Linked DNA regions of Nothobranchius furzeri. The protein of the gene in region 4 purifies or fractionates together with the protein of the main gene of each other region. This does not show direct contact. Links are inferred from orthologs where the notes say so. Each region holds a gene or a part of one and is shown on either strand. Other genes may lie near its edges. The genes, in order: dbt, bckdha, bckdhb and ppm1kb.

Region 1 (6,176 bases), on a different chromosome or scaffold from region 4:
TGTGGTACCGCTCACCCCGGGGCTGATGGGGAATGTGTTTATTTCAGGTCCAGCACCATGCAGGCCGGGTTCTCCAGGTACTCCCTCCACAGGTTGGAGAAGCGACACATGGTGGCGCCATCGATGATGCGATGATCTGCTGACCAGCTGACCTTCATGATGTGAGCTGGAATCAGCTCACCGCTGGCATCAAACCGGGGCAGAACCTAGACACACAGTTAGAACGGGCCTGAGAAACATCCGCTCACGTTGGTTCCCGTTTGGGATCACAGCACAAGATCTCACCTGGATTTTTCCCAGGGCTCCGATGGCGACCTCAGGAGGAAGGATGACCGGTTTGGCGTACGTCCCTCCGATCTGGTTCCAATCACAGACAACCACGTTAGTTTCAGGTCGGGTTCTGCAGTAGAACGCGGTACTGCGGTGCGGTTGGACTCACTGATCCGATGTTGGACAGAGTGAACGTCCCCCCGCTCAGCTCGGTGGCACCCAGCTGACCTGCAGCCCCCAGCGCCTGCAGGCGGTTCAGCTCCTGGGCGATCTCGAACACGCTGAGCAGCTGAACGTTCTTCACGTTGGGAACCAGCAGACCCTGGCTGGTGTCCATTGCAAGCCCGATGTTATGAGATGCCTGAGAAGCAGCCAGAACCGTCAGAGCCACCCAGCTACCTGTTCAGAACCAGTGAACACCAGGAATTACCTTGTAGGTGATGTTCTGACAGCTTTCATCCACCGAGGCGTTTAGGATGGGGAAGTGAAGGAGACCCAGAGAGGCAGCCTGAGCCAACGAGAGCACACGGTTATCACTAAGCCAGGACTGAGGCTCAGGACCTCTGGACCAATCAGGGGTGAGGTTAAAGGTGCACCAGAATGTAAAGCCACGCTCACTAGTGATGGGAACTCCGGCTCTTTAGAGTGACCCGCTGACCTTAAATGAGGTCAGAGCCCGGGGGCAGCGTGCTCTGACCTCCATTACAGTCAGGCTGGCGTCCTCTCTGCGGGTTTTTGATCCGACTTAAAATCCTACGGTTTTAGAGATTCATGTGATCATATTATGATTTTAGTGCTTTAACTGATCCTGCCTGTTCAGCATGTTGCTCAGCGCTCACGCCGTGTCTTTAACGGTGCTATACACATAGAGTTGGTCCGGTCCGGTAAAGTGAACCGGTTCTTACGGCTCGACTCACTGAAGCTCCGAGCCATGCCTCCTGGATTTTGGACTGGACTCTACAGTTTTAGGAATTCTTATTTCGGCCACATTGGACTTTTCAGAACTTTTGTCAGTTTTTATGCACAATTCTGATCATGTCTTAGTTCTGGGAGGTTTAACATGCATGTGTGCTGCCCTGAGAAACAGCTGGTGGAGGACCGGGCCCACACACAAGCACGGCCACACTCTGGACTTAGGACTCCCAAACGAGAGGACTAGCAATACCAGTGTGGTAGATTTTCTGACCATGCTGCACCTGGGTTTGGTTGTGACATCACTATTCCACCTGTAGTATGACCAGCGGTGCCAAAACTCCACTGGTTTTTAATACTTTTAATGTTTTCTGTGGTTGTCTCCAACCAGTGGCCTTCGTAGTACTCAGTCCCGCCTGACCCACAGTTGTTCTCTGATCGTTTTGACTTGCTATGTGCATCAGTCTTGGATGAGACTGCGCCCCTCACTGATGTCAAGTCTGGGAGAAAATCTGAAGGTTGGACGTCAGAGGAAATCAGACACATGAGACGTGACAGCAGGAGGGCTGAAAGGCTGTGGAAGAAAGACAGACTTCAAATCTCTTTAGAGCTGTTCAGGTCCAAGCTAGCCTCGCTAGGTCCAAGCTAGCTCGGACCTAGCTGGCAGGTAAGAGGGCTAAAATTAACTATTTTGCTGGCATTATTTCTTCAGCCTCAGGTGACCAGCACTGAGTTCAGCGCTGGACCCGGAGGGAATGGTTACTACAATGGATGACTCAGTTGAGAGCTGTGAGAACTTCCAGGTGTTGTCTGGAGAAACCTGCAACAGCAAGAGCCTCTCTGGTACATGACCCACTATACACCCCTCTGGCTCCACCTCCACTATCAGCCACATTAGACTCATTTACTGTGTCGGATGTGTTGAAGCTGGTCTCCAGAATGAAGCCATCAGGTTCCCCGTGTGACGGTTTCTCCAGTGTTGGCTCCTCCGGTAGTGTCCATCATAAACAGCAGCTTCAGTCACGGCCTTGTGCCCCACACTTTGAAACATGCGGTGGTGAAGCCCCGCTAAAGAAGGCAGCTTTGGACCCAGGAGTTATTTCCAACTACAGGCCAATCTCGCGCCTTCCCTTCAGTTCAAAAGTCCTTGAGAAGACAGTTTATGATCAGCTCTGTCTATTTTTGGCCACCGACGAGATCTTAGAACCACACCAGTCTGGATTCAGATCTGGGCACAGCACTGGAACTGCTCTCTTAAAGGTGCCCAACGACGTGTCCCTGGCAGCTGATGCTGGGAAGGCGGTGGTGCTGCTGCTTAGTGACTTGACTGCAGTGTTCGACACTGTGGATCATCAGGTTCTGCTGGAACGCCTAGAGCAGTGGGTGGGGATTTCAGGAGCAGCTCTGAGCTGGATGAAGTCCTACCTGACTGGTAGAACTATGAGTGTTTCTACAGGTAATCACTTATCGTCTCAGAAAGAGCTGAAATGGGGGGTCCCTCAGGGATCTGTTCTGGGTCCCCTGCTCTTTTCAATCTATCTGCTCCCACTCAGCATGATCTTCCACAGCTGCGGTATTGACTTCCAGTCGTATGCCGACGACTGCCTGATTTATCTGCCAGTGAGAGAGGGGTTGTCTGGCTCATTAAGTCTCTGGTGGAATGCGTGGAAGACGTGCGTTCACGGTTGTCGACCAACTTCTTCAGTTGTAATGAGAGCAAGACTGAAGTCATAGTTTTGTCACCTAATGGCCATCAGCCATGTAGCATAGACCTCTTATCATTAGCACAATTTGAACGTAAAGTGGTAACTGATCTTGGTGTGAGACTGGACTCTGGACTGACCTTTGATGCACAGGTGAACTCTGTAGTGAGATCATGCTAACCCTCACCCTAACCCTAACCCATCCTTGCGCCTTGCGAGGATCAAGCCTATGCTATCCAGAAAGGACCTTGAGATCGTAACATCTGCATTTGTGCTTTCCAGACTCGACTACTGCAACTCTGTATGTCGGTCTGACCACTTCCACACTGTCAGAGCTGCAGATGGTTCAGAACGCTGCAGCAAGGTTTATTACCGGAGTGAACAAATGTAACACTCCAGTATTACATGCACTGCAGCGGCTTCTGCTAAAACACTGCATTGAGGTCAAGATTCTGGTATTTACATTCAAGTCACTAGCAGGGACTGCGCCGCCTCATCTATCATCACTACTGCAGAAACACGCCCCCTCAAGATCACTGTGCTCCGCTGCCAACAACCTACCGGTCGTTCCACCACCTGAACATAAGAGTCGCGCCCCAACATTGTGGAATGGCCTTCCACTGGAATTAAGACTCACAACTACACTTGAAGCTTTTAAAGCACAATTAAAAATGCACTACTGACTCACAGCACCCCGTGAGGCCTCTGATCTGGTTGTGTAACTAGTTTTTAGCTAAATGAAGATTTCATCTTAACCCTCTTAGCTTGCACCAGTACATGTTCCTTTGTGTTCTCTGAGTTGTAGGCAGAGTGTGACGTGTACATACAGCTTCTTTATGGGTAGTTATATTCTTACTGAGCACAAAGGTAACTACTTGTTGTTCAAGTGTCTCCAGTTCTTTCTCTGAGGCGTCTTCTGCTGAGTCATGATTCGTCTCTGCTTTGGGATTTATGAAAGAAAACGTAGCGGAAAAATGTGTACAACTTTAAGTTGACTAAGGACCTGGCCTACACACACTGGACATGGAGAGCACCCCCCCCCCCCCCACACACACACACACAGGCTGAAGCGCAGAATACAGAATGGGACATAACATCATGCGTCTGTGGCAGTGTGTGTCCTGTTACTGTGACCTGATTGATGATGCGCCCTGGCTCTATCAAAACCTGGATGGTGGGAGCTTTCTTCAGCTGAATGAAGATAAGACTGAGATCCTCATCTGTGCCCCAGACAAGCTGGTTCCCAAAGTCAGAGACTCTCTTGGTCAGCTTGCTTCCCACACCAAACCTTCCGTCAGGAATCTTGGCGTGACCTTTGACCCAGCTCTCACCCTGGATTCTCATGTCAGTTCTCTTGTTGGCTCTTCCTTCTTCCATCTCAGGAACGTTGCTAAGCTGAGTCCCATTCTGTCACGCTCTGAACTTGAGACAGTTCTCCACACCTTCATCTCCTCACGCTTAGACTACTGTAACTCTCTTTTCACGTGTCTGAGCAGAACCTCCCTGAACCGTCTACAGGTGGTTCAGAACGCCTGTGCTCGGCTTCTGACCAAGTCCTCCAAACACACCCACAACACCCCACTTCTCCTCCAGCTTCACTGGCTGCCAGTCAACTTCAGGGTTCATTTCAAGATCCTGGTTCTGGTCTATAGGGCCTTACATGGACAAGCACCATCTTACATTGGTGATCTTCTTAGTCCCTACACCCCCAGCAGGTCCCTGAGGTCCAGTGACCAAAGCCTACTGGTTGTGCAGCACCAGGCTAAAGGTCAAAGGTGACAGATCATCTGCTGCTGTGGCCCCCAGACTCTGGACCTCTCTCCCCCTGAGCCTGAGATCAGTGGACTCAGTGGTCTCCTTTAAGAAGCAGCTGAAGACTCACCTGTTCAAGCTGGCTTTTGTACGACCTTCTTCACCTCTCTCTCTTTATTCTGCTCTCCCCACCTATTCCACCTTCCTCAGGATCCACTGGTTTCCCTCTTTCCTGTTCACTCTCTCTCTGTCTTTACATTTTTTAATCACAATTGTCTTTTTTTGCTCATTTTAAATATATTTTTAAACATTTTCTAAATGCTTTTTTATATTTTTATGTTTTTGTTTTTGTGAAGCGCCTCGTGATTTTTATCTTGAGAGGCGCTATAGAAATGATATCTTCTTCTTCTTCTACTTGGCCAATGGGGATGTCCCTTTGGTTGGCTGTTAGAGCGCGTGACTCTCACCCGGGAGGGTGATGATCGAATCCCGCCGGGCCCTCGTCTCTCCACCCTGTCACACGTCATTTATAGAACAACACAGAAGGCATGATGTCCATCTTTTATTTTCTTGCCAATTCTTTGTGTTCCTGAAATTTCAGCAGGACGCCACATATTCTGTGCGGTTCTTCTCGCACTTCGTTCTCCGCACTAATCGTGTCCCTCTGTGGCTGCAGGACGGCGTCAGTTAGCACCCGGCCACTTCCAGGTGCGCCATGCGCCCGAGGCACACTGGTGAGACAGGCCGACCCTGCAGCCACACCTTCGGTCGCCTCGTTGGACGCTTGGTCCAGAGTCACTGGGGGGACGAGATAAGGTTTTGTTTTATGTTTTCATGACGGACACGTTTGATCTGCATTAATAAAAGGCTTGCACGTTACCAGCCTCCTCTACATGGTCAGTGTCTCCCTCCTTCTCCGGCACGATGCCACGCACGCTCTCCGGTCCGAGTACTGCTGAGATCCTAACGGAGCGGTGGGGCATCAGAGGTGCCAGGGCACTGCCAGTGGCAGACACACTCTGGCGGTGGCAAAACATCTTTTTTTTATCCTCCACCTTCAGATTGGACCATTGTTTATATCCGCCACAGATCTCTCTGAAGAAGTCAGCATTGACGGCTTCAGCAACGCTGTGCCACTCCGTGGATTTTCTCTTATTTGTTTTGCAAAAGCACTTCCTTTCATTTCTCCACCTCACCCACAGGTACCTCAACTTCTGCTTGTGAAATAGCGCTTCCTTGATCTGCCTTGATCTACGGTCGCCATGTCATTGGTGGAGCGCTGCAACAGCCGGCTTATGTATATGCATGAGGTCCACAAGGCACTTTGCATTGACCATTTATGGCAGTAAGTGGGCGTGGTGAGAGCGGGATGTGACTAAAAAGCAGCTGAGAACCATTCTGGTTAGTCTCTGATTTATGAAGCGGAGGTTGCGTGCAGCTGTGTGTCCTCCATGTTTGATAGGTAACACACCTGCTTGGTGTAAGAACTTTTGTGTTGCTGAGCTTAAGTACGGTTTTAGTAAGGATGTTTGATAAATG
Region 2 (8,776 bases), on a different chromosome or scaffold from region 4:
TACCTATCCTGGAGAAATAGTCTTGTGCTTTATAAAAATAAGCTTCAACAAGCTAGAACTGCTTATTTTTCATCGCTAATTGAAGAGAATAAGAATAATCCTAAATTTCTTTTCAGTACAGTTGCCAAACTTACACAGAATCATAGCTCTGAACTATCTATTCCCTTAGCCCTCAGCAGCAATGACTTCATGGGATTTTTCACAAGTAAAATTAATTCTATTAGAAACAAAATCATTAGCAGCCTCCCTAATGCGATTTCTTCTTCCTCAGTAAGTGAGGCAGCATCAGAGGTAACTGTAGAACCTCATCTGTGTTTGAACCGTTTTGCTCCAGTTGAGCTTTCAGAGTTATCAAAAATATTAGCTTCATCTAAACCTTCAACTTGCATTTTGGATCCAATCCCAACCAAATTATTTAAAGAAGCATTTCCTTTGGTTACTGCCCCCATTCTAGATATAATCAATCTATCCTTAGTAAATGGGTATGTACCACAAGATTTTAAGGTTGCTGTAATCAAACCTTCACTTAAGAAGCCTTCTCTGGATCCAGATGACCCAATGAATTATAGACCAATATCTAACCTTCCATTTTTATCCAAAGTCCTGGAGAAAATAGTGGCCATCCAAGTATGTGAGCATTTAAACACTAATGCTCTGTTTGAGGAATTTCAGTCTGGTTTTAGAGAGTATCACAGCACTGAAACTGCATTAGTGAGAGTTACAAATGATATTCTCATGGCCTCAGATAAGAATCTTGTGTCTGTTCTAGTCTTGTTAGATCTCAGTGCTGCCTTTGACACAGTTGATCACAATGTTCTTTTAGAAAGGCTTGAACATGTTGTAGGGATCAAAGGAACAGCGCTAGGCTGGTTTAAATCTTACCTGTCTGATAGATATAATTTTGTAAACATACATGACAAATCTTCTTCATACTCCAGGGTTACTTGTGGAGTACCACAGGGTTCAGTGCTTGGACCAATTCTTTTTACTATATATATGCTCCCAATTGGTAAAATCATTAGACAGCATGGGATGAACTTCCACTGTTATGCTGACGATACTCAGTTATATCTATCCATTGACCCTAATTAACCTAATCGGCTAGTTAGATTACAGGCTTGTCTTGAAGACATAAAAAATTGGATGACTCAAAACATTTTGCTTTTAAATCAAGACAAGACTGAAGTTCTCATCTTTGGACCTGAAATTCAGAAACGGAAATTGCTTAGTCAATCACCTGACCTAAATGGCATTAAATTAGTCTCAGAGAACAAAGTAAGAAACCTTGGCGTTATCTTTGCCCAGGACATGCCATTCAAATCCCAAGTTAAACAGGTTTGTAGGATTTCCTTTTCCCACCTTCGGAATATTGCTAAGATTAGATGTATCCTTCCCAGGAGTGATGCTGAAAAACTAGTTCATGCATTTATTACATCAAGACTGGATTACCGTAACTCATTACTCTCGGGAAGTCCACAGAATGTAGTTAAAAGTCTTCAGCTTGTCCAAAATGCTACAGCTAGAGTTCTGATGAGAATTTAAAAAAGAGATCATATCTCTCCTGTCTTAGCTTCCCTACATTGGCTGCCTGTTAAATTCAGAATAGATTTTAAGATCCTCCTTCTCACATATAAAGCTCTTAATAATCAAGCTCCATCATACATCAGTGACCTGATTGTTCCATATGTTCCTAACCAAGCAATTCGCTCTCAGACTGCAGGTTTACTGGTGGTTTCCAGAATATCTAAAAATAGGATGGGAGAGAGATCTTTTAGTTATCAGGCTCCTCTCCTGTGGAACCAACTCCCAGCTTTAGTCCGTGAGGCAGACAGCTTGTCAACTTTTAAGACTAGGCTTAAAACATTTTTATTTGATAGGGCCTATGGTTAAAATCTGATGTTAGCCCAAATCTGGACAAGTGGGGGAGTAGGAGGTGGAGTGTACAGTCGGTAAAGATGACTCTCCCTTGACCTGCCTCCAACACGCCTACATCTAAAAGGCTAGGTCATCCAGAGTTATCTCTGTAGTTATGCTGCTATAGGCTTAGACTGCTGTAGGATACACTGACCACTTTCCACACTTTACAACTTTCTTCTACAATCTGCTCTTTAACTGTATTTCCTGCAATTTCAGCTGTTAACTTTATTTTTTCTCTAAGTGTTTTTCTCCCCAGAAGGAGCTACAATGATGTTCTGCTTAGCTGTGGTAGCCTCATGGAGGGGGCCATCATCTTGAACACTGTTGCTAAACACTTAAAACATTCTCCCTCTCCTGATAATAACATTTGACTTTCCTTGACATTTAATGTGCTACTACTAGTTTACCCGTTTAATTATAGATTCAATAGGATAAAAACAATAAATAAAGTTTATCTCTCACCAAATAGAATATTTACTAAGAAATTACAATGTAACCATAGAAACATTATTTGGTGTGTGCGTGTGTGTGTGTGTGTCTGTGTCTGCTCTGTCTTCTCGATCCCCAGTGAGTCGTGGTGGATGGCTGCTTATACTGAGCCAGGATGCTCTGCAGGTTTTTTCCTGTTAAAAGGGAGCCTTCCTCTCCACTGTCGCTGCATGCTTGCTTAGTGTGAGGATTGCTGTAAAGTCACTGCCACTAGTGGACACTAGTCAGTGACTCGATGCAATTTGCTGGGTTACTTATATAGGAAACTTTTTTCTGATTGGCTTAATGAATTGACTTGTATTGGAATGTTTATTATTTGAAGTGCCTTGAGACGACTGTTGTAGTGATTTGGCGCTATATAAATAAACTTGAATTGAAAAAACTTGAATTGAATTTTGCAACAATGGAGAAATCAAAACAAAACACACAACTAGACCTGGTCTGGAGAAAAAACAAAGTCTATAGTTCATACCGACCTGTAGGTCATCGCCTCAATAAGAAAAGGCTGATTTTCAGCCACAGCTCTGCGACGCGCTTCCTTTGTAGCGTTGTACACCGCAAACACATCGTTACCGTCAACACGAATGGAGAGCATCCCGTAACCTGGCCCACGAGCAGCTGGTAGACAAAATAACAGGATTTTACTGAGTATTTTACAGGGCGTTCATTATTCATAACTTAAAACCAAATGACAATAAGAATAGTTTAAAAAAAAAAGCCTTTAAATCGGAGAAGAGAACCAAAGCGGGCTTACCAATGCCATCTCCTCTGTACTGCTCATTGGTTGGGGTGGAAATGGCGTAGCCGTTGTTGCGGCAGAAGAAAATCAGCGGACACTCGAGGGTCGCCGAGAAGTTGAATCCAGCGTGAGCGTCCCCCTCACTCGCTGCTCCCTCTCCGAAATAACAGATCACGGCCCGATTCATGTTCTCTCTCTTGATTGCATACGCAGCTCCAACCGCTGAAAAGGGACGCAAATGTGAAGAAGAGCAAAGTTTGCACTGAGGAAGTGAGAACGACTAAAGGCTGCAAGCTCACCTTGAGGAATCTGCGTGGCCAGAGGGGAGGAGATGGTGACAAAATTTAGATCTTTGCAGCCATAGTGGACGGGCATCTGCCGGCCCTTTCCCAGGTCGTCAGCGTTGGCGTAGCACTGGGCCATGAAGAGGTCCAGGGGGAAACCACGGTACATCAGAACTCCTGTTTGAGCAACGCGGAAATTATCACCGAACTCAAGGACCTTCATAAAATGTTTCATGGGCGACGGTGGCACAGGAGTTAAGAGCTTGCCCCGTAATCAGAAGGTTGCAGGTTTGAGCCCCACTCAGTCCGTCGCTGTCGTTGTGTCCTTAGGCAAAACACTTAACCCACGTTGCCTGCTGGTGGTGGTCGGAGGCACCGGTGGCGCCAGTGCTCGGCAGCCTCGCCTCTGTCAGTGCGCCCCAGGGCAGCTGTGGCTACATCGTAGCTCATCCCCACCAGTGTGTGAATGTGTGTGTGAATGGGTGAATGACTGATTGTGTTGTAACGTGCCTTGGGGGGTTCCAGGACTCTAGAAGGCGCTATATCAAATACAGGCCATTTAGATTTGATGCATCAGTAACTGTTTGCAGCAGATTTACCAAATGTGATTTTTTTTCTTTTCTTCTTAAGAAATCCTGAAAATGTGTCTGATTTGCTTACATAAATGAAAAAAAAGTAGCAACCAATTTGCATCAGCTGTTCGACCAACTGGAGGCAACAACTCAATGCTTTGCATAGCGTCACAATAGAAAATACAAAAATGTGTTTAACAAATTGCTGACTGACAAGTAAAAGAAGTAATGATTACTTTCTATTTTAGCCGTTTTACACTTTGAGTGAGAAAAGGACCACTCCAGAAAACTCGGAGACAACGTTAGAACCACTTGCCTGCTTCTCTATATTGACCAAAAACCAAATCACTGGGCTCCAGAGCTGCAGCACTGCCAATGTGTGTCCCCTCCTCACCATAATTAGTCATGTAGAAGGATATTCGGCCCTGCAACCAAAACAAAATACCACTTCATTAAAAAAAAATACACTTCATTCACCTTTCATAAAAAAAAAAAACACACCTGTCTCTGAGACTCGTACAGAATCCGATCCATCGTGTTCAGAAGCGTCATCTTCTGATAAAAATTTAGAACCGTCTCTTTGGACAGCTGAAAAAACACAAACATACTTTTTTAGCCTGTCGGGAGAACATGTGTGATTTTAACGATCCAGAACGGAGGCAGAAAAGAGTACCTGAGGGTCTTGAGAAGGATTGATTATTTTCCCCAGCCTATCCATGACCCGGTACACCGGGATCCCAGAGATCACATTGGGCTGGATGAAGTCAAGCTGGTCCACGAACTCGGCCGAGGCGCCGGGGAACTGAGGCTTTTCCAGCGACGAGTCGAAAGTCTGCTGCTGGTGCGCCGCCTGGAAGTTAACAAAGATTTTAAAAACAAGACTCACCAACAAATCAGCAGCTATAAATGGACATTTCCTCGTGACATCACACCACAGAGAGGGAATATAATGAAATAAGAGTGTGTGCTCCATCTTCTCAAACCCCCAGTGAGTTGTGGCAGACGGCTGCTCACACTGAGCCAGCTTCTTTTGGAGGTTTCTTCCTGTTAAAGGGGAGTTTTCCTTTCCATTGTCGCTGCTTGCTTAGTTTGGGGATTGCTGTAAAGTAACTGACACAATAAGCTAGTGACTCGATGTCTTCTGCTGGGTTTCCGTGGATATAAAAATGTTACCTAATTGCCATAATGAACTGAGCTCAGTACACTGATTTGTAGGTTCAATTGGAATGTTTACAAAGTGCTTTGAGGTGACTCTTGTGATTTGGCGCTATATAAATAAACTGAATTGAAATGATAGGTTTATTAAAGTTTGAGCTATAACCTTTATCTAGAGTAGCGCTCGGCAATAAATAAAAAATGTATCGTTATCAAAATTTCTGACTCTTATCAAAAATAATTATTCTCATGTCAATAAATTTGATAATAAAAAAATGAAAAGAGGTGTGTAGGTTGGAAACATTCATGTCCCTTTAAGAAGCTGTACCACTTTGAGTCACATAAAAGCCCCATCTAGTGGACAACTTTTGTTTCTGCGCATACCTGTAGTAATCGTCCATTTATCGATATCAATATTGTCCATTTATCAATATCCACGATATATCGTGATATTGATAAACACATATCGCCCAGCCCTAATCTACAGGGTAAAATATTTGAACGCAAAATATCAACAAGTTCTGGACATTTATGAAGCGTATCTTAAATAAATAATACTTGGCCAATTTCAAGAGCACAGGTGCTGCAGGCTGGTGAGGGAGTGCCTTGTTAACAAATCATTTGACCATTTAAATTTTCCACATGTATGTTGAGGGTAAAACAAACATGACCTACTAAAATTGCATCTATTTGAATAGATGGTTTTGTGAGGTGAAAGAAGAATTGGTCCCTAAAGGCTTTAGTTTGTGGTTAGGCTAAATCAGTAGGTGAAAGACTTAAGGTGTGGTTAAGTTAGAACAGAATAGACTTTAAGGATCCCACAGAGGGAAAATTCACTCGTTAAGGCAGCACATACACTTAAATAATACAGGTAAATACACAAAGGCAGTAGGCTACTATTGTAACCTTTATCAAATAAAAGAATGGATAATAATAGAAAATTTGAGTTTCTAGGAAGATGGTAAATAGCCTGTATTTGTATAGCGCCTTCTTAGGGTTCTACAACCCCCAAGGCACTTTACAAGACAATCAGTTATTCATCCATTCACACGTTGGTGATGAGGAGCTACAACGTAGCAACAGCTGCCCTGGCGAGCGCTGACAGAGGCGAATCCTGCCAAACACTGATACCACCAGTCCCTCTGACCACTACCAGCAGGCAAGGTGGGTGTCTTGCTACTGCTGTCCCATTTAATATACCGAATGACCAGAAATAACAGCATAAAGAACACAGACATACAATCGTACAATCATAATAATGTTATTTTAACTTACAGTTTAGAGGTTATATTCTGTAGCGGTTGTGCTTCCTGCTTAGACGTGTCCTTCACAAATTTTGTCAAGTGCAAGAAAAGTCACCATCCAGATTTAAAGGTATTGAACACTTGTTTAATCAATACATCTGTAGTGGTCTCTAGTAGGAATGAATACCTTGTATGTCATATTCTGGGGGGAAAAACAGCGGTGTGCCATTTTCAGGAACTAGAAGTGAGCCACATCCCAGCTGAGCTTCAGAGCGCAGGATTTGGAATCTTTTTTCCTTGTATTGGAACATCCTGCCTCGGGTTGGATAACAGCAACATGACTCTACCACTGACTTGCAATGTGGATGTTTTATCTCCACAAATACCTTAAAGCTTGGTTTATGCTTGACGCATTCACTTTCCGCTTGGTGATGCGGCTCGCGGATGGAACGCGCTTCACAACTCGCAGCGTTTATGGTTCACGCGGCTTGTCTCTGCGGTGAGCCAATATTCTCCCAAACTGAACGGGGCAGCATGAAGCTCTACGGCATGCATCCAACACTAAACCATAGTAGAAATTACTGTTGTTTACAACATGGCATTCCAGCATTTTTAACAGCGTCCTCGTCTTTTCCGACAGTGCAAGCTATTTCTCTCCAAGATTTATTAACAACACGTTGATCAAGGTGATCTCTGAGAGCTGAATCATACAAATGTCTGTATTTACGAACCTCTGCCATACTAGTTCTTGCCAGTCCGCCATGTTTTTCCACGTCCGACCGTCCGCATGGTTAGAATTTTTTCATAGGTGCGCGTTGCGGAAATTTTGGGCCGTGGTTGTTAAAATGACGCAATTTCACAGCGCGGACCTCGCGGACGCGTCAAGCATAAACCAAGCTTTAGCCTAAAGGAGTTCTGCTGTGTGGGGGAGTTTCTAATGCTAACGTTAGCTTCTACTTGCCAAGTCGTTCTCTGCGGTTTCCTGGGCGCTAAACCATCTACAGCCTTCCCTGTCGTGAGTCAAGATAGGTGGGTTCAGGAACGTTCAGTGACAGTGTGATGTAGATCTGTCAGGATTTTCTAATCCTAGATTTTCACTGTGTATTTTCTAGCAAAAGCTAATGCAGGAGATAGGTGTAGGAGATTGTTTTCATGTTCAGCCTGCATGAAAAACTCAAGAGTGACTGATTATAATCAGAAATAAGTTTTAAGTATTTTTTCTCAGTGTTCCACATCTTTAAACAAGTATGTGTGAGCATGCTGCTGGACAATTACTGCACTGCATTTGAATACAACTGATAAAGGTCTCTAGTGCAGGGACACACAGAACCGTTCAAACGCCTAGGGACAGTTTTCAACCTGACATGCGTGTTTTTAGTCTACGAGGAAGCTCACGCATGCACGGGGGTGGGGGTGTTGCAAACATGCAGGTCATGGAATTTGTGACCTCCTAGACATCAATGTTACAAACTGTACCGCCAAGCAATCCTAAAGTGTAAAAGTGCATTTCAAAATTATAAACCTTTTATAACTAAGCCGTCTTTGTTTACTTTAGTGGTGCAATTTTCGACAGCACTATGAGCTGTATTCATCTCATGATGCTGTTGTATGATTATGACCTGTAGGAGGTGTATTAAACAAACTTGTGGCCCGACTGGTTTATCCCTTACGCCCCTTCACTCGACCAATTGGAAACAAGCTAACCTAAACTTTAGCCAGCTGGCAAAGATCGTCAGACACAAAACAAAAAACGCATAACGTTAACACAACAATGTGGTATCCATCCGTGAACATGTAACTGTGATTGTCTGCAATAGTTTAGAGAGACAAAAAAGAAAATTGTATGCTTCCGAATCTGTTAGCATAACCTGCTAACACTCAGGTATCGCGATAATTTAACAGGTCAAGCGTGTTCAAAATGTTTCATTCTAATTTTTACCTCATGAACTTTGCTAAACGTTAGATTTACTTCCATATAATCTGCACCAGTTGGTGTAGACATACTTATTTTTATTGTCTCCTGCAGCCTACCAGGCCACATTCAGACCACCTTAAATAACCTCTAGGATTTCCAAGTTAACATCCGAAACTATGTGGATCTCCGTACGAAGACGTTCAAATCATTTCAACTCACGCTGATTCTGATGGATCTACACTGAAGCAGCCTTGGTGCGTTTATTCCTCTCGTTTCACGCACAGCATGAAAGCAGATCCCATTGATTCTGCGCATTGCGCTCACAGCCGCCATTCGGATAGTCCAGTCGCTTGGTTTAATTCAGTGAGATTGCGTGTTTGTAAACTAACTGTACAGGTATGCCAGACCTTAACGGTACAATAAACTTAACTCTTGAAACCCTTCAGTTTGTGTCCATCCTG
Region 3 (8,776 bases), on a different chromosome or scaffold from region 4:
GACCATTTAACACACTAACTAAAGCCTGAGGAATCTAAGATGCAGTTCTTGGGTATTTTTACGGTTCCTTTAAACATTGCACCGACAGACCTCAGAACGAACCTGCTGGGAGACCCACACCGCATGAGATTGCCAACTTATTTGAATGTTTTCTGGTTGTGAATTATCTTTTTACTGTAATGTTTTTGTACCTCAAAAACATGGGTAACCGATGATGGAAATTGCAAAGGTTTGAATGTGGTACTAACTGAACCTTCATAACGTCCCTTCCCATAATGATGGGCAGTAACACCTGCTTCGCTCAGACCAATGCTGTTGTTTTTCCTTCTAAGCATTGTGTCAACATACATCTGTATACTCCAGACAGCAAACTGGAGAAAAAAAGACATTTTTCTAGAGGGATTCACAGTGAAGATGATCAGTTACTAGTTGTATCCAATCAACAGGATCAGACTTCAAGCTGCTATAAATGCTGCAAATCATTTCCAGCAAGTTACATTTGTTTCTGTTAAATAATGTCAGACTGTTTAACTGAGATTGCATTTACTCATCAGGAAGACTTAACAAAGGCCAGATGATTGATTTTGTTCCATGAATCCTTACATCTGAACAAAGGATGTAGACTTTGCTACAGATATGACACTAACCTAAGTTAAGACACTCGTGTAATCACTTGAAAAATGCTATTTTTAGGTTGCTTGAAAAAATAAAAACCTAAAACATTTGGACACACTAAAAAATAAACCAAAACACAAATTTTCAACAATTTTTTGTTGTATTGTTGCAGGTTTTAACAGTACAATATGTTAAGGGTTGAACACTTTTAACCAAAGTTAACACAAACCGGGAGAAAGTCACAAATTCAACCAAACAGTGTCTCACAAAAATACAGGCTTTGTTGAGGGGGGAAATGCTTTCTGTGAATTACAAGAATAGTTGAAGCTACGTTTCACCACTGATAAAAGTCGATCACCTCTCCCTTCCAGAAGAACACGGCTCTCCAATCTGGAGATATGGTAACAGTCTTTCAGAGTGAGGGACATGGATGCCATCTGGATACTGCTTTCTGACTGGATGGTCAACAAAGCATTTTTCTGGAAGCCCTCCACTAGCTGGATGAATGAAGAATAGATGTGGGGAGAGTGTGGAGTTGAGGTTGACCCGCAGTTGGCCCTGCAGAAGGAGATATGGTTCAACAAGTGAAGAACTTGGCACTCGATGGTGGACGACAGATGAGGAAAACGTAGAGCTGGACTGAGCTGAACAGTGATGATGAGAGGTGACATGTGTTGGATTCAATTAAGTATCTAATAAATGCGTCATTCTTTTTGGGAAGCCAGCAGTTCAACAGCAATAACTCAAAATGACAGAGACAATTAAAAAGGAATTCTAAAACAATGTGGCTCTGCGACTGTCCCAAGTTAATGAATGTCATTATTCCTGCAAATAATAAAAGACAGATCTGGCATACGGTATCAGATACACATTATGACTTTACAGAACTTCACAGGCATTTCCATAACTTGCATGACCTGGTGACAGTTGTCACTAGAATCAGTACTGGGTGCTCTGGTTACAGTTCAGTGTGCCTAAATACAGATGTGAATCCAAGAGTAGAAAAATGTCACAGGAACCTAAAATCCTTAACTTTTGTACACAGAATACCTAGGAACACTCTCCTCAATATCATCAATATTATATAAATAAATGAAATGTATTTGAGGAATGCTGGTACAGCTGAACACAGCTTCAATAAACTGAATGCAACTGATGTGATTTACAAGAGTTCCTCATTTTTAACCTGTCTCTACTTTGGACACACAAACATTATCAACAGAATAAAATTAAATAACAAACTAGCTACAGTTAGTTACACAACAAAATAAAATTACATTGAACAGTAAATTTTTGACAGTAATCATGCTAAAAGTACACAAACATATAGAAAATAGAGACATTTTGAAACTAAAATAACGTGATAAAATCTAACCTTTTAACAAACAGCTTTTCTATGTCTGTATGTGCCAAGTAATTAACGAACTCTACTAGGTCAAGTAGTACGGATTAAAACTATTTTGGCCTTGTTTAATTCTTACTCCATTATGACAAAAATGAAAACCAGGATTATTTTGATTGAATATAAGATCTCGATTATTTAACACAATCTTTAATTAATGTTAACACACACTTATTGAACAATAACAATGGCAACTCCATCACTAGCTGGTTGCCTAGGCACTCTTAGGAAAAGAAAGTAATTAACATGCCGTTGGAAATAGTGACAAAGACACTAAGTTGGTGCTGCTGTGTGGGAAGTGAGCTCAGTTTACAACTCGGAGCAGCGCAAGAGTAAAAAGTGAAGGAGAAACAAATAATCTCTTATTAGACTGTTGAAATCCCAGATCATAATTGAGATTCAAATTAAATTATTCGACCAGCTTTAGGTTAAATCAATCTGTCATTGAAATCACTAAAACCACTAGAATAAATTACACAGACTATAGGGAAACTGGCAACAGGCTCTAAGTAAAATAGCAATTAATTGCTATGCAATAAATATATGTTAAAAGAAGCCAACAGATCTTCTCTACCTGCTTGCATTTTCAGAAGTGGATCATCTTCTTTATTGCATCAAAGCACTTCCACTTGTCAGGGATGTAGAAGGGCTCAAAGATGTGAGGGAAGGGGGTGTCATAACCACAGACCCGACTGATGGGAGCCTCCAGGTTAAGAAAGCACTCCTCCTGTAAGAAACCAAAAACACGAACATACATACTGTCACTGCTAAAATAGAACTCATACATCACATCAGCTCTACCCCACCACTGTACAGACGAGGAATGGTAGGGGGAAAACGGTGCACCTATAATCTCAGTTCGGTACGTACACTCTAAGAAATGATTCAGGAGGTTAGTTATTAGGACTTAAAAACAAGAAAAATTTTCTGCATAAAAATTAGAAATTGTTACATGTCCATTGTTTGTTAAGTTGAAAAGAAGTTGAACAAAACTAAAACTAGTGAAAGCTGTCTTAACTCAGAAATTCAGTGATTTTGGATAAGCATTTCTGCCTTCACTTAACAAAGAGTAATAAGTTATTGAAACTTAATATTGTATTATAATATTAAGTTGTTGCAGCAGCCTTTCACATCACGTGTGCAAGGAGTGAAACCAAAGAATGAAATGAAACCAACGGCCATTTTATGCTGCCAGACTCCAGCAGCAAAGAGAGGGAAAGACACCAAAGAAGGTCAAGGTTGGATTAACTTTAATTGGTAAGTAAATATGTTTTTCTTTATTTTCTTAATTTTATGTGCAATAGCAAGTAACTATCAGCGCTCAATTACACAGCATTAAATTAGAAAGCAGACTGCTTTGTCCTCGGCTTTAAGCTATCAGTTAGCTAGCTAATGTCTTCAAAGTAACTTAGCTAACTTATAAGTGCATTAGAATCGGCTCCAAGGTGCTGAAACTTGCAGTTCTAGAACTGCTGTGGAAATTAATCTTTAGTTCTACTTTTTGCAGACATCTATTTTAGCTGACATTAGTGAGGAAATGTTGTGGAAAAGTGCTAGCCGTTAGCAGTCTTTAGCTCGCCAAGGAGGAAGGACCAGATAACCCGCTTTGTGCAGAACAGTCCCGCATTTTCATTACTTTTCACACCTCCAGTAGGGCTGCTCAATAAATGGAATTTTAATCACAATTACAATCTGAGTTTTGAACGATTATTAAAAACGAAACAAGCCGGTTATTTGCTCCTCCCTCGTGGATTACTCTGAGTTACAAATCGAGCGCACCTCCTAGTGACTTTGTCGCTATTTCTAACTTTTCTGATCCTCTTCTTTGACCTTTTTCTGAAAGTAGCTAGCGAACAACCCAGCAACATTTCTGGTAACCCTTAGCTACTTTATGGAAAACTGTCGTTGATGTTTCCTACAGGTTAGCAAAACACTCAGCCAGCACTCCGGACCATGTAGTGAATTGTCGTTCGCAAACGAAACGGGTCTCAGAGATACACACTGTACCCGCAGGCTCCCGAGCCACTAAAAAAACAGAAAAAATGTACGCGCGCTGCACACGCACACACCGGTAGAGTGATTGCTGTGAGACTGGGAGAGGGTGTGTGCGCACGTGTGTGGGTTGCAGCGCACCTACGATCGCTGTGAAAGCAGGAAGAGGGATGGCACACACAAAATGTCCGGGACATTTATTACAATAACTGATGGAACTTGTAAATAATTATTTTAAAAATAGCTATAAATAACTTGAGGAACTGTAAAATGGTATGGAATAGTTTGCTGTTTGCTTGTTTAAGTTAAATTAAGATAATTATTTTATGTATATTTAACAGTAATGTTAAAGCCAATAGGCAGAATAAAAAAAAATTTGAGTTGGTTTTAACTGTATTTTTCTTTTTCAGAAAAGGACAAACTGGTTGCAAGATTTCCCAACAACAATATCAAAAATTTAAATAACAGCATATAGGCAAGTTATTTCTATAATACTGCTGCACCACGTTCTCAATTTGCAGGCAGGAAGTGGTTAATGAGGCACCACCAGTCACAGACTAAAAAAACCGATGGCCTGCTCTTTTTGATGCAGTTTAGGTAAACATTTTTTTCATAATGGTTTTCATTATGCGCTGTATTGGAATTGATAACAAAATTAATAGATTAACAACAAAAACAACTTATTTTCCTTCCTTTTATTTCTATACAGGCAAACGAAGAATTCAGAAGAATCACTACAGTGAACTTGGAGGCAACATTTATGGCAAAACTGGACAAGTACACCCCAAAAATAATGTCATTTGTGTCCTCAAGAGGAGGGGCTGCAAGAGTGCCTATTTGGCGCATAATGAAGATGCTGCAATGTGATTCAAATAAAATAGAAAATCCCCCTTTTTCTGTTTCTTTTTCTTTCCACTGCTCCTCCTTCTTGTCTTTTCTTCCTCTTCTACTTCTCCTCTGTCCGGTTCCTTTTCTGCTGCTTCCCTAATCCTCTTCCGTTACCTCACTCCTCTTCTACTCATTCCCCCCTTTTTTCTCACGCTTCACTGCAAGAACTCAAAATCAAACAGAGAATATTTAATATTTTTCTAGTCAAAATCTCTCATTACTTTAAACATTGAGACATTACCTAAAAGTAAGTTGTTTTTTACTTGTTTCCAAGTTAGGTTCACTTATTTCAAGCTATTTTCAAGTCACTTGGATCAAACAGAAAAAAACTGCCAGTGGAACAAGGGTTTGTAACGAGGAAAAAAAATCTTATTTCACTGGCAGATTTTGCTTGAAATTTGTGAAACTGCACTTGAAACAAGTCATAAACAAATCTGTTTTCTGGTAATGTCTTAATCTCCTTTTTAATGTCTCATTGGATTATACTCTTCTTCTTCCTCCTCTTCTCCACGCTTCTCTAAACCTCTCTCTTTCACCTGTCCTTGTCTTCTCCTCTTCCATCTTGTCCTGGCCCCTTCCTCCATTTTCTCCCATTTTACTGTCTTTCCCTTCTTATTTGTCATCATGCTCCTCATCTCCCCCAATTTTCTCCTCTTCCTCTCCTCCTGGAGCAAAAACCTCATTATTGCCTTTTATTAATAAGGGAACTGCAGTTTTTTGCAACTTGGCCATTATTTCTAAAATGCTAAATGTTTATTTACTCATCCAGACAACTTTAGTGCTGTCTGAGTTTTTTGAGATATATATAGGTTGGTTTAGCGGCCAGGGCTTTCAGTGGCATCACGATCGCCCGCCATCTTAGTTGTAGTTTGAGCAGAAATTTCACTCTGTGCTCTGTGACGGTTGATTACGGAATTATAGGAAAATGTACAAATGCTGCTCATATAACAACTAAGATGGCGCATGGCCATGACACCACTGAAAGCGCCGGCTATTGACAGTAAAGCGCCTGCTGGTTGTACTAAACGACTGTAAAACATCCTGGATAATAACATCAATGCTCCGAACTATCAGGTGAGTAGCGCTAGCGATTTATACCAAAACATTAGTAAAATGAAGGCATTTTGTGTCAGATAATGCCTTATTTAGAGGCCGTTTGCATTACTTATTATCTCATTATATGGAAATACACTTATGGGGAAAATCTCCCGGAAGACTCCGATAGCACCAAAGTTGTCTGGATGAGTAAATGAACGTTTTGCATGCTAGAAATAAGGTCCAGGTTAAAAATAACAGCAGCTCCCCTTTAAACTACTTAAATAGTCATGGAAATGGGGTAAAGTATTATGAGAAGAACCCTGATTAGAAACCCTTCCTCATATAGGAATACGTTAATATTTTTGTCATCTTATTCACAGGATGATTCTGTGGAAATGAGGAGAGAGGTTTTAATCCATAGATTGGTGGTGTACCTTGGAGAAAAGGAGGAGAATCTAAAGAGCAGTTGGTGGGTAAATCTGACACAGAAAAGCTATACTTTTGTAAGTCTTGTTTTTAACAGTTTTTTGTGTTTTTAATTCTGATCTTAATTCTGACCTATTTATGCAAGGTTGATGGGGATCTCACCAACGAAGTGTTGAAAATCATTGTAACCAGAGGTGCCTCATCTGATCTAGCCAGCACCCGGATTGTAATTAAGGGAACAGAAGTCCTGGAAGAAGTAGACGTACCCAGAGCCTGTGCCTTGCTAATGGGACTGATCTACTCACTCAATCTCAGCTACCCAAAGGAACTAAAAACACCTTAGAAGTGTTTCAAAAGGTATTTCTTGAGCTGGATAGCATGAAAGCAAGCCCGAAAGTAATGTCTCTGAAAAGTAAACTGCTGTTGTAAAATATCTGAAGACTGTCCACTATTTGAGCAGGAAATGTAATTTGTTAACACACTGTGTTTAAATGTTTTTAAGGTTTACCTAAAGTACACTAAGTTTACACCTGAAATGGACTTGAAGTTTAGTAAAAGTTAATATCTCAGGTTATGTCTGAAGGAAACTGCTGTACTAAAAATGAGAAGAGTTAAGCTGTCCAATTATTCAGCAGGAAATGTTGAGTGTACATACACACTTTGCAAGTTTTGCTCTTTACACTTTATTCTGTACAGTTACCGTACATTTAATAGAAGACAGTGAATGAAAAGGTGAGACGAGTAAGAATATAAACAAGGAAGGTGGGCTGGAGAAGAGGAAAGGGCTAACAGAAATATTAGAAACACAAAATGTTCCGGTTAATCACGCTGTTTACATTTAAAATGTATTCCAGTAGTACTAAAGTACATTATAGTTTAAGTTAAGTAAGTATATTTTTCACTAGTTGATTGAGTGATGGGATGATGAGATGGTTTCTGTACTGTGCTGACACTTTGCACTGAAACTGGATATTTAGACTGGGCTTTAGCAATGATCACATCTGCAACTATGTCCTTCTTCTAATATTAGTGCTTGATTGCAATAAAAATATTAATACAAAGGTTAAAATAAATAAACACTTTTTTTGACTGTAAAACTGGAGTTGTCATGTCCAAGTTATTCTGACTTAAATGAAATAGGTTGCTTATACTCAATGAAATTGTTGTAACAATTTGCATTGACATTTTTAAGCACAGGGAAAGTTTAAAAAATGAGTTACAGCAATAAAATAAAGTCATTTGAGCAATTTTAACACTAAAATTTTGATATAAATCTACATCCAGACCATGGTTCCCCAGAAGAACGAAAACAATGAATGCAAGTTAATGAGGCTAAAAACGCTATTTTCTAATCCCGCTTGCCATGGATTTCACATATGATGTCCGTGAATTTTAAAGACACATTTTGATACCAAGAAAGCGCTTATTTTTTAACAGGGGTAAACGTTATTTTGTGTGAAAATAAATCCAGGAATACAAATGCGCATCACAAAAGTGATGTCATCAAACCAAACACAGAGAAAAACAAAGGGAAAATGGCTGTTAAATAAGCGAACTTCAAATCCTTCTTCAGGAGGAAAGAAACACCATGAATCTGGCCATGTGGTAAGTAGCAGCTATGCTAGGGGAGAGGATATTTTGTGGTAACGTCAAATATGCGGCATACTGACGTCTGATTTGTAGTCATGCTAATTATAAACTTTTCTCACAGTACGTGACTGGCATTGCTGAAACACATATCACTACTTTTCATTTAAATTGTAGTAAAACCAGGGGTTGAGCCGGATCTTGCCAGAACAAGGGGGACACCCAGGGGGAGCCCGAAAAAGATCCTGGTTGTACTTAAATTACTTTATGTGGACTCTCCGGGGTTTATTTTGAGCTGAGAGGTGCAGAGCTCTGATTGTTGATGCACTCCAGACAGCTGCGTACTGAGCATGGCCACAGTAATATTCTCAAAGAGTTGCCACCTCAAAAAACATATTTAACACATGGTCATTCATGCCGGCTCATATCCTTTTATACTTTCTGTTATTTATTTGTGTCTTATGCACTTCACTGCTGCGGAGCGCATCCCTTGTTTTGGCCCCTGGTGACTTCACCTCACTGGTGCAGCCAGCACGCCGCGCACACTCCGCTAATTTTGCGGTCGGTAGATCTTTTTGAACTGCAGTTCAAAGGTAACCCATGAGGTGAAAATATATGAAGCCAGGTAGCAGTTTTTCTTTAGGATTGAGAGAAGAAGAAGAAGAAAGTATCATTTCTATAGCGCCTCTCAAGATAAAAATCACAAGGCGCTTCACAAAAACAAAAAAATGTAAAAATATAAAAAAGCATTTAGAAAATGTTTTAAAATATATTTAAAATAAGCAAAAATAGACAATTGTGATTAAAAAATGTTAAGAAAGAGAGAGA
Region 4 (7,551 bases):
TCTGTCTCACAGTTCACCGCGATCCGTGACCGCTCGTATTTGCAGTTTTCATAACTTCTGATTGTCTAATAAAAGGCAATTCCTTTAGTTTAGTACAACACACCTTTACTTGACCTATTACCAAATTTAAAACTAGGATAAAGCTTATAATCTCCACTTTAAATGTGAACTGAAACTGAAACTCAGGGAGGCAGAGTCTCGCCGCTACGACGTCCCAAATCAGACCTGTTTAAACGACGCAGATCCGCGTCCACAGAACCAAGAGGCTTAAATATGATGCCGATTTTCTTGAGTAAAAACATCTGCCAATGGGGAAGGCAAAAGTTGCTTGGCTAGAAATCTTAAAACTAGCAAAATAATTCATTTTATTTGTTAATTTTAAGATTTCTAGCCAAGCAACTTTTGCCTTCCCCATTGAGATTTTTTTTACTCAAAACAAGATAATCTGGATTATATTTAAGATGAACCCTTTTCTAGAAAATTCATTTATTTCTAGACTTAAAAAAAGACAAATATCCAAAAATGAGGCCATTGTTACCCTCTTAGAAATCAGTTTTTGCAGTGCAGAGCAATAAACGGCTGGTTTAATAAACTCCATTATGCACTAATATGCATTACATTTGAAGCTGTTTTGTGCGAAAGGACAGCGGTGGTCCTCTATTAGGTCATTTCAATAAAGAAACCTGTAAGTGTTCAGTTTAGAAACACAAAAATTCACTTCTTTACTCTGAATCTCATTTTTGTTGTGAAACACATTTAAGTGTCATTCTTGTTTGGCTTTAATTTTACTTTGCATCAACTGAGAAGCAAATTCATTATTAATTTGGTCCGATGATGCAGATGTAAAATTAGCACCTGGAATACTTTCTGTGCCTTTTGTGTTTAAATAACTCTCCTTTCAGACGATGTTGTTTTGGGAGAGGAGGGTTTAAATGAATCATCGCTGTTTATTCACTAAGCTCTGACACAAAGCCAGAACAAAGGGTCTTCTGTGCCTGACATGCCTGAGTGGAGGACGCACACTCACAAATCACACTTCTAAAAATTATTTTGATGATTTGCATCAAAATGTGCTGATTTAACTCAGGACTGCATTTCTGCTCAAAACGTTTTAGAATTATTAAGTATCAGATGGTGTATTTTTCTACTATTCTAACAATGTAGCTGTAAATATTGGAAATGCATCAAAGGTGAAACCTTCTGCCTCTATAAAATTAGGTATTTTTTTATTTCAACATTAAACATCTGCTTTAGACTATTATTGTTAAATAAAAATGTCTGCTTTTAAATTCTTCCCAGTTTTCGGTACTTATTAGTTTGCTAGTATAAACCATTTTTTAAATTTGGTGCACATTATGAGTTTGCTGCTCCTTACATTGCAGAAGCTGCTTTAAATGACACATCATACCCCTCAGGCATCCTTGTTCAAACATACTGCTATCGTTAGGTTGATTCCAGGGCGTAGAATGTATTGCACATGTTAGCTGGCTCTGCACACCACACCTCTTAACCCAGAGGCCTGCTGACTAGGCCCAGCGGCTGCTGGACACAAAACTTCTGCTGAAGGAGAAGCTGATATCTGAACTCTTGTGTCTTCCCCAAGCTCCAAATGGCACCACAATGATTGTGCTGTTGTCCTCTGTGCCATAATGAAGAGCCTGAGAATAACACAAACAACATTTTACCAATAAGGTTTAGGCCAAATGTATGATTCAGTTACATTGTCCTTGAATCCATGACAGATTTTATCTCAGTAATAACTCAAAAATCCTCTGAAATACAAAACATAAATGAAGTTAACTTAAATTTGCTCATATTTAAAATGAAAAATGTGAGCTAATTTTAAGTTGGAATATGGAACATTTTAATAAAAAGCTATATTAAAAAGAATAATAACTCCATGGGGCATTCAGAGGTGTGCAGAATGAATGTAAAATTTCTCCTTTTAAAGCTATATTTAAAAAAGATAAATCAAATTTTCCATTCTGTCGGGCACAACACGGTTGACGTTTACATCTAACAGCCACTAGAGGGCACCGTTGCACTGAAAAGTCCACTCGGCAAGTCAAGGTTGGGACTGTGTAAAATGGCAGACTTGACAAGTCAAGCAGCTGATTCTGGGCCCAGAAGATGTTCTAACAGTGAATACTGTTGTAAAATTAACATATTAGTAGAAATTAGTCCTTATCCTATGATATTTGTCTCTGAACATGGTGCTGGAACGTGTCAGCAGTGAACCAACATCTCAGCAGCTGGAAAATTAGTTGTTGCTGCAACACCACCTCTGAACACCAGAGTTCACCACATTGTCCATGTTCCACAGTAAACCATTACATTTTAATAGGTGTAGAACACAATTTTTATGATAAGCCTGCATAAATCCATTCTATGCAACGTTTTCATATTTTTATTGATTTTCTTGAACCTGTACAGGTCCTTCTCAAAGAATTAGCATATTGTGATAAAGTTCATTAATGTCTGTAATGTAATAATAATAATAATACATTTTATTTAAAAGCACCTTTCAGAACACCCAAGGTCACTTGACAGAAAACACGTAATACAATAAAACAATAATAAAACCCAAACAAGAAAAAAAAACAGAGAGAAACAGTTCAATAAAATCAGAGGTTGTAGGCAGATTTAAACATATGTGTTTTGAGTTTTGTTTTGAAAACTGAAAACTTACCCTCTTGCTTGAGGGTGTCAATGATGGCCTTCTGGACAGCAGTCAGGTAGCAGTCTTACCCATGATTGTGGGTTTGAGTAATGAACCAGGCTGGGAGTTTTTTTTAAAACCTCAGGAATCTTTTGCAGATGTTTAGAGTTAATTGGTTGATTCAGATGATAAAGTTAATAGGTCATTTAGAGAAGCTTTTCATGATATGCTAATTTTTTGAGATAGGAATTTTGGGTTTTTATGAGCTGTATGCCAAAATCATCAATGTTAGAAACAAGAAAAGGCTTGAACTACTTCAGTTGTGTGTAATGAATCTAATATACATGAAAGGCTAATGTTTATCAGTACATTACAGACAATAATGAACTTTATCACAATATGCTAATTTTTGAGAAGGACCTGTATGTGCTAAAAGGACATACACTTAAGGCAGTGTTTCCCCTACATAAACTCAGGCGTGACGCTGCGCCACAGCTGAAATTCCAGTGCTACGCACACGGTCCATTTTTTTCTACCTGGTCAGAGATTCTCTGAGCGGCCTCTTTGGGGTCGTGGCACTGGTTGATAACGTTACAGATTTCCTGGCTGTTCATAATGAAGTTAATCCCATCTGTGGTCAGAGCCAGGAAGGAGTCATGGACATGATGCAACTGAGGAAAAGAACAATTATTTTACAATTTACAACTGGACATTTCTGAAAACAAATTTAATACAGTGAACAAACATATAAACAGCACTTTTGTTTTTACTCCCGTTTTTCACGAGCTGAACTCAATCATCTGAAACTTTTTCTACATGCACAAAACATCCATGACTCTCAAATATTGTTCTGAAATCTGTCTACATGTGTGTTAGTGAGCACTTTTCCTTTACCAAGATAACCCATGCCACCTCACAGGTGTGGCATATCAAGGGGCTGATATCAAGGGGCTGATTAGACAGCTTGAATAATGTACAAGTGTGCCTTAGACTGCCCACAATAAAAGGCCACCCTGAAATGTGCAGTTTGATCAAACAGCACAATGCCAAATGCTGCAACCTTTGAGGGAGCGTGCAACTGTCATGCTGACTGCAGGAATGTCTGTGATGATGAGCAGATTGCTGATGTCATCGTTGTGGAACAAGTGGCCCATGGTGGCGGCGAGGTACAGGTATGGGCAGGCATATGTTATGGACAATGAACAAAGGTGCATTTTGTTGATGGCATTTCAAATGCACAGAGGTACCGTGACAAGATCCTGAGGTCCGTTGTTGTGCCATTCATCCACGACCACCACCTCATGATGCAGCATGATAACGCATCGCTCCATATTGCAATGATCTGTACACAATTCCTGGAAGCTGAAAACATCCCAGTACTTGCCTGGTCAGCATACTCACCAGACATGTCACCCATTGGGCATGCTTGAGATGCTCTGGATCGGCGTATACAACAGCCTGTTCCACTTCCTGCCTATATTCAGCAACTTCACACAGCTACTGAAGAGGAGTGGACCAACATTCCACAGGCCACAATCAACAACCTGATCAACTCTATGTGACGGAGATGTGTTGCCCTGTGTAACGTCACGAAATGGCCTGATTTTGAGATCCCACAGGTCAAGATCTACAGCTAGGTCAATTTAACCTGGCTATGACACAACCTACAATACTTTCCCCTCACGGGAGACTGGAAGTCTGCCCGTAGTCCCTTTAATCAGAGCCTGCCTTCCTCACACCAACTGGACGCGCGTGTGTTCGCTCACACGTGGCCTACACTTCTTGTGTCCAGGCACACTGTGTGTGGCATTGATGGGTTGTCGGGTGATTCCAAATGTCCTATGACTGTGACTCCACGTTTGCATGTTGTTCAAACTACTGCTGTTGTTGTTGGTTAACGCTGGTTAGTTAATACCCCTGCTCGTGAAGCGGATGTTTTCTATGAGCGTCATGGTGTGTCCACACGTGTTGTGCTTCCATCTCAAACCCTATGGGTGACAGTTCCACGTAGTGCTACGGTCCATGTAGGTGAGGTCTCTCGATATTACTTGGATCCTGGTGAGCATAAGTCTGTTGTGGAGTTTTCTCCTTTTTATGATAACATCTCCTTTGCTCTTTCTCCAACTACGGTGGATTGTGTTACGTTCAGTGGTCCAACCATGGTTCGGGTTGGTGTGGTAAACAGAGTGCTGCGTGAGTTGTTGGCAGATCCCAGTCTCAGGTTTCAACCAGTGTCTTACTCCTGGTCCTCCGCTGATTCTGTCGTGTTATTCACTGCATGCTTGTCTTTGGGGGTGTCATTTCTTCTGTTCCATCACTTCTCTGCACGGTTGACCTCTCTAGGGGACTCGGTCCGCAACATCGGTGGCCGCCTATCTCGAACTCTCGCTATAGAACAATCTCAGAACAATATTTAAGAATCATAAGACGTTTGTGTATGTAGACAATTTTTCAGATGTTTGCTCATGAAAAATGGGAGCAAAAACTAAAGTGGTGCTTTTATATTTTTGTTCAGTGTAAATGACTGGTTTCAGTTCTAAAATGAACTATCAATAAACCTCCTACCGTCATTGCTTTGGTTTCTGGCTCAGCGATGACCCCTGTCTTCTTCAGGTCAAAGTCTCCGATACTGCGTGTCATTGCCAACCTCCCGTTAACGTTCGGCTGTCCAAGGCTATTCCATGTCACAAACCCTCCGCTTTTTTTTATCCTTGAGACCACAGTACATTTGTAAGAAAGCTTTTTTTTTTGTTTTATACAGAAATAGAACAATGCTTTCTCACCTTGGTTAGACATTTAAAAAAATTTGTTTATATTTCAAAATGAAAAATATGAAAAATTTCATCACACACACTACTATAGCCTAAGGGCTACTCTAGAGTAAAGCCTAATTTATACTTCTCTTTCTGCCTTGGGGAGGATGCACACAACGCCATTATCTGTCCTTGCGAGCCTGCTGGAGAGCCCTCGCAAGAACGAACAAAGTCGAGCTCTCTTTTTTAAACATCCGTCTGTTGAGACGGAGAACGCAAGCTTGTGATTGATCAGGACGCGGCTGTCGTGTACAGCGCCCTCAAAAACAAAGAGAGCCAAGGATACCTAGTGGCAGACACAGGAGCAGCTTGAAGAATACCTTGTGGAAAAACTCTAAAAATATGAATGTTTTACTACACTGTGACTAGAGAGTGAAAAGATATGCGGAAAGCATTTTATCCATGGATGGAAATTATGGGAAATGTGGGTTTAGAGGTGGCAAGCGCATGAAGAGGTGGAGGAGGATGAAGGACAAGTTTGTCCGTGTTACCTCATTCACTGCCAGCCGTTTCCTGATCAGAAAAGCCCTGCGCAGCCAGCGTTTCAGGATTTTTTTTAAGTCACAGAACGTTGCCCTCTATGATGTCAATGCCAAAACTACCAAAACAAAGAGTAGACTCACCTCTTACATCAGCAAGATTCTGCGTGTTTCGAGTGTTATCCGTTCTTTCGTAATCCCGTGCCGAATTGCTTTTCCAGTTCGCGCCTTACTTTTTTTTTTTCCTTTCTTTTCTTTTTTTTTTTACAGCAGCAGCCCAAAACGACCTAACACAGATTTTCTGCTTCCTGATCACGAGACGTGTGATGTACGCGGGTGGAGATCAGCTTTAGACCTGGGATGTTTGTTCTCACGGTGCGGGGGCTCATTCCCACGCCCACACAGTAAAAAAATGCAAAGTCATCAATGGCAGTGAACGGTTGTATTTAAAATGACGACTTTTGTCATCAATGGCAGTTAATGAGTTTGAGTAACTGAAACACAAAAAACACTATAAAAACACACCATCTTGGACCAGATACATGACAGGATACCACAGAACAGCACTATGCCATCTGTTGTCCTGCCAGGGAATTACTTTGCAACACCCCCCAGGAAACGGAGAAGAATGAGGTCAAATTGCCTCCGTCCGTGTGTGCGTGTCTCTCCCTCATGGAGCTGACGGAGAAGTATAAATTAGGCTTAAGGGCTATTATCATGTAAGAGCTACTATGGTGTAAGGGCTGCTAGAACATGGGGCCACACTATAGCTTAAGGGCTACTATAGTATAAAGACTACTATAGCATGGGGCTACTGTAGCATAAGGTAGTGTTTCTCAACCCTGGTCCCCACACATGTGTTCCACGTCTCTGCTTCAGCACACCTGATTTACGTGTTTGCAGTGCTTCCTCAGGATGACGTCAAGTGCTACAGAAGTTTGTTAATCACTCACTGATTTAAGTCAGGTATGTGGCAGCAGGGGAAACACTGGTGTTTGAATAGGGCAACATGAAAAACATGTAGGCCAGGGAGGCGCTGAGAACCAATGTTGAGAAAACCTTTTCTTTGTTGGATTTCTTCTTTAGTTTTGGCTAAAACCTTTTTAAATAAATCCTGGACTTCCATAACAAAAATACGCAAAAATTTCCCTAATAAGCAAAGCTAAACAAAAATGCTTTTTTTTTTATTATTCACAAAAATGTCCAATTTATACATCTCTTCATCAAAGTAATTTTCAGTAGAGCCAAGTTTTACATTAGTGAAAGGATGCCGACATCATTTACCTGTCTTTCTCATCCTTCCTCTCAGGAGTGTGGTCGACAGTGAGTTTCAGGGCCTTTCCCTTGCGACACAACATGGCACGACTGTCCCCCACACTGGCGACAACCAGTTCAATGCCATCCCTTAGCAGGGCCACGGTGGCGGTGGTTCCTGCGTTTATTCCTGGTCCTACAAAGACATTTGAGGAACCATCAGACATGGAAGAAAATGTGAACAAAAACAAAAGAACAATCAAATGGTATACCTCCCAACCACAAAGAAGACACAAACACGTTAGTGTGAAAGTCATTACAGACTTAGAGCAGACTACAGATTACA

What was found.
Region 1: the proteins of ppm1kb (region 4) and dbt purify together in Homo sapiens (affinity purification with mass spectrometry; 4 studies listed by BioGRID and IntAct, counting the BioPlex papers as one, with this or other methods). This does not show direct contact. The link is inferred for Nothobranchius furzeri from reciprocal best matches to the Homo sapiens genes PPM1K and DBT.
Region 2: the proteins of ppm1kb (region 4) and bckdha purify together in Homo sapiens (affinity purification with mass spectrometry; 4 studies listed by BioGRID and IntAct, counting the BioPlex papers as one, with this or other methods). This does not show direct contact. The link is inferred for Nothobranchius furzeri from reciprocal best matches to the Homo sapiens genes PPM1K and BCKDHA.
Region 3: the proteins of ppm1kb (region 4) and bckdhb purify together in Homo sapiens (affinity purification with mass spectrometry; 3 studies listed by BioGRID and IntAct, counting the BioPlex papers as one, with this or other methods). This does not show direct contact. The link is inferred for Nothobranchius furzeri from reciprocal best matches to the Homo sapiens genes PPM1K and BCKDHB.

Annotation. Positions count from the first base shown.
Region 1 is NC_091748.1:80,630,399-80,636,574, reverse strand, and holds part of dbt (lipoamide acyltransferase component of branched-chain alpha-keto acid dehydrogenase complex, mitochondrial), read right to left. Parts: intron 779-6,176; coding exon 701-778; intron 632-700; coding exon 440-631; intron 358-439; coding exon 286-357; intron 207-285; coding exon 39-206; 3' UTR 1-38. UniProt on the Homo sapiens protein: The branched-chain alpha-keto dehydrogenase complex catalyzes the overall conversion of alpha-keto acids to acyl-CoA and CO(2).
Region 2 is NC_091753.1:46,803,908-46,812,683, forward strand, and holds part of bckdha (2-oxoisovalerate dehydrogenase subunit alpha, mitochondrial), read right to left. Parts: 5' UTR 8,649-8,776; coding exon 8,535-8,648; intron 4,852-8,534; coding exon 4,675-4,851; intron 4,590-4,674; coding exon 4,503-4,589; intron 4,427-4,502; coding exon 4,318-4,426; intron 3,607-4,317; coding exon 3,445-3,606; intron 3,368-3,444; coding exon 3,161-3,367; intron 3,025-3,160; coding exon 2,883-3,024; intron 1-2,882. UniProt on the Homo sapiens protein: Together with BCKDHB forms the heterotetrameric E1 subunit of the mitochondrial branched-chain alpha-ketoacid dehydrogenase (BCKD) complex.
Region 3 is NC_091745.1:53,280,112-53,288,887, forward strand, and holds part of bckdhb (2-oxoisovalerate dehydrogenase subunit beta, mitochondrial), read right to left. Parts: intron 2,745-8,776; coding exon 2,604-2,744; 3' UTR 2,592-2,603; intron 1,174-2,591; 3' UTR 1-1,173. UniProt on the Homo sapiens protein: Together with BCKDHA forms the heterotetrameric E1 subunit of the mitochondrial branched-chain alpha-ketoacid dehydrogenase (BCKD) complex.
Region 4 is NC_091744.1:11,910,680-11,918,230, forward strand, and holds the end of ppm1kb (protein phosphatase Mn(2+)-dependent 1K), read right to left. Parts: intron 7,402-7,551; coding exon 7,236-7,401; intron 5,370-7,235; coding exon 5,225-5,369; intron 3,331-5,224; coding exon 3,196-3,330; intron 1,659-3,195; coding exon 1,527-1,658; 3' UTR 1,140-1,526; downstream 1-1,139. UniProt on the Homo sapiens protein: Serine/threonine-protein phosphatase component of macronutrients metabolism.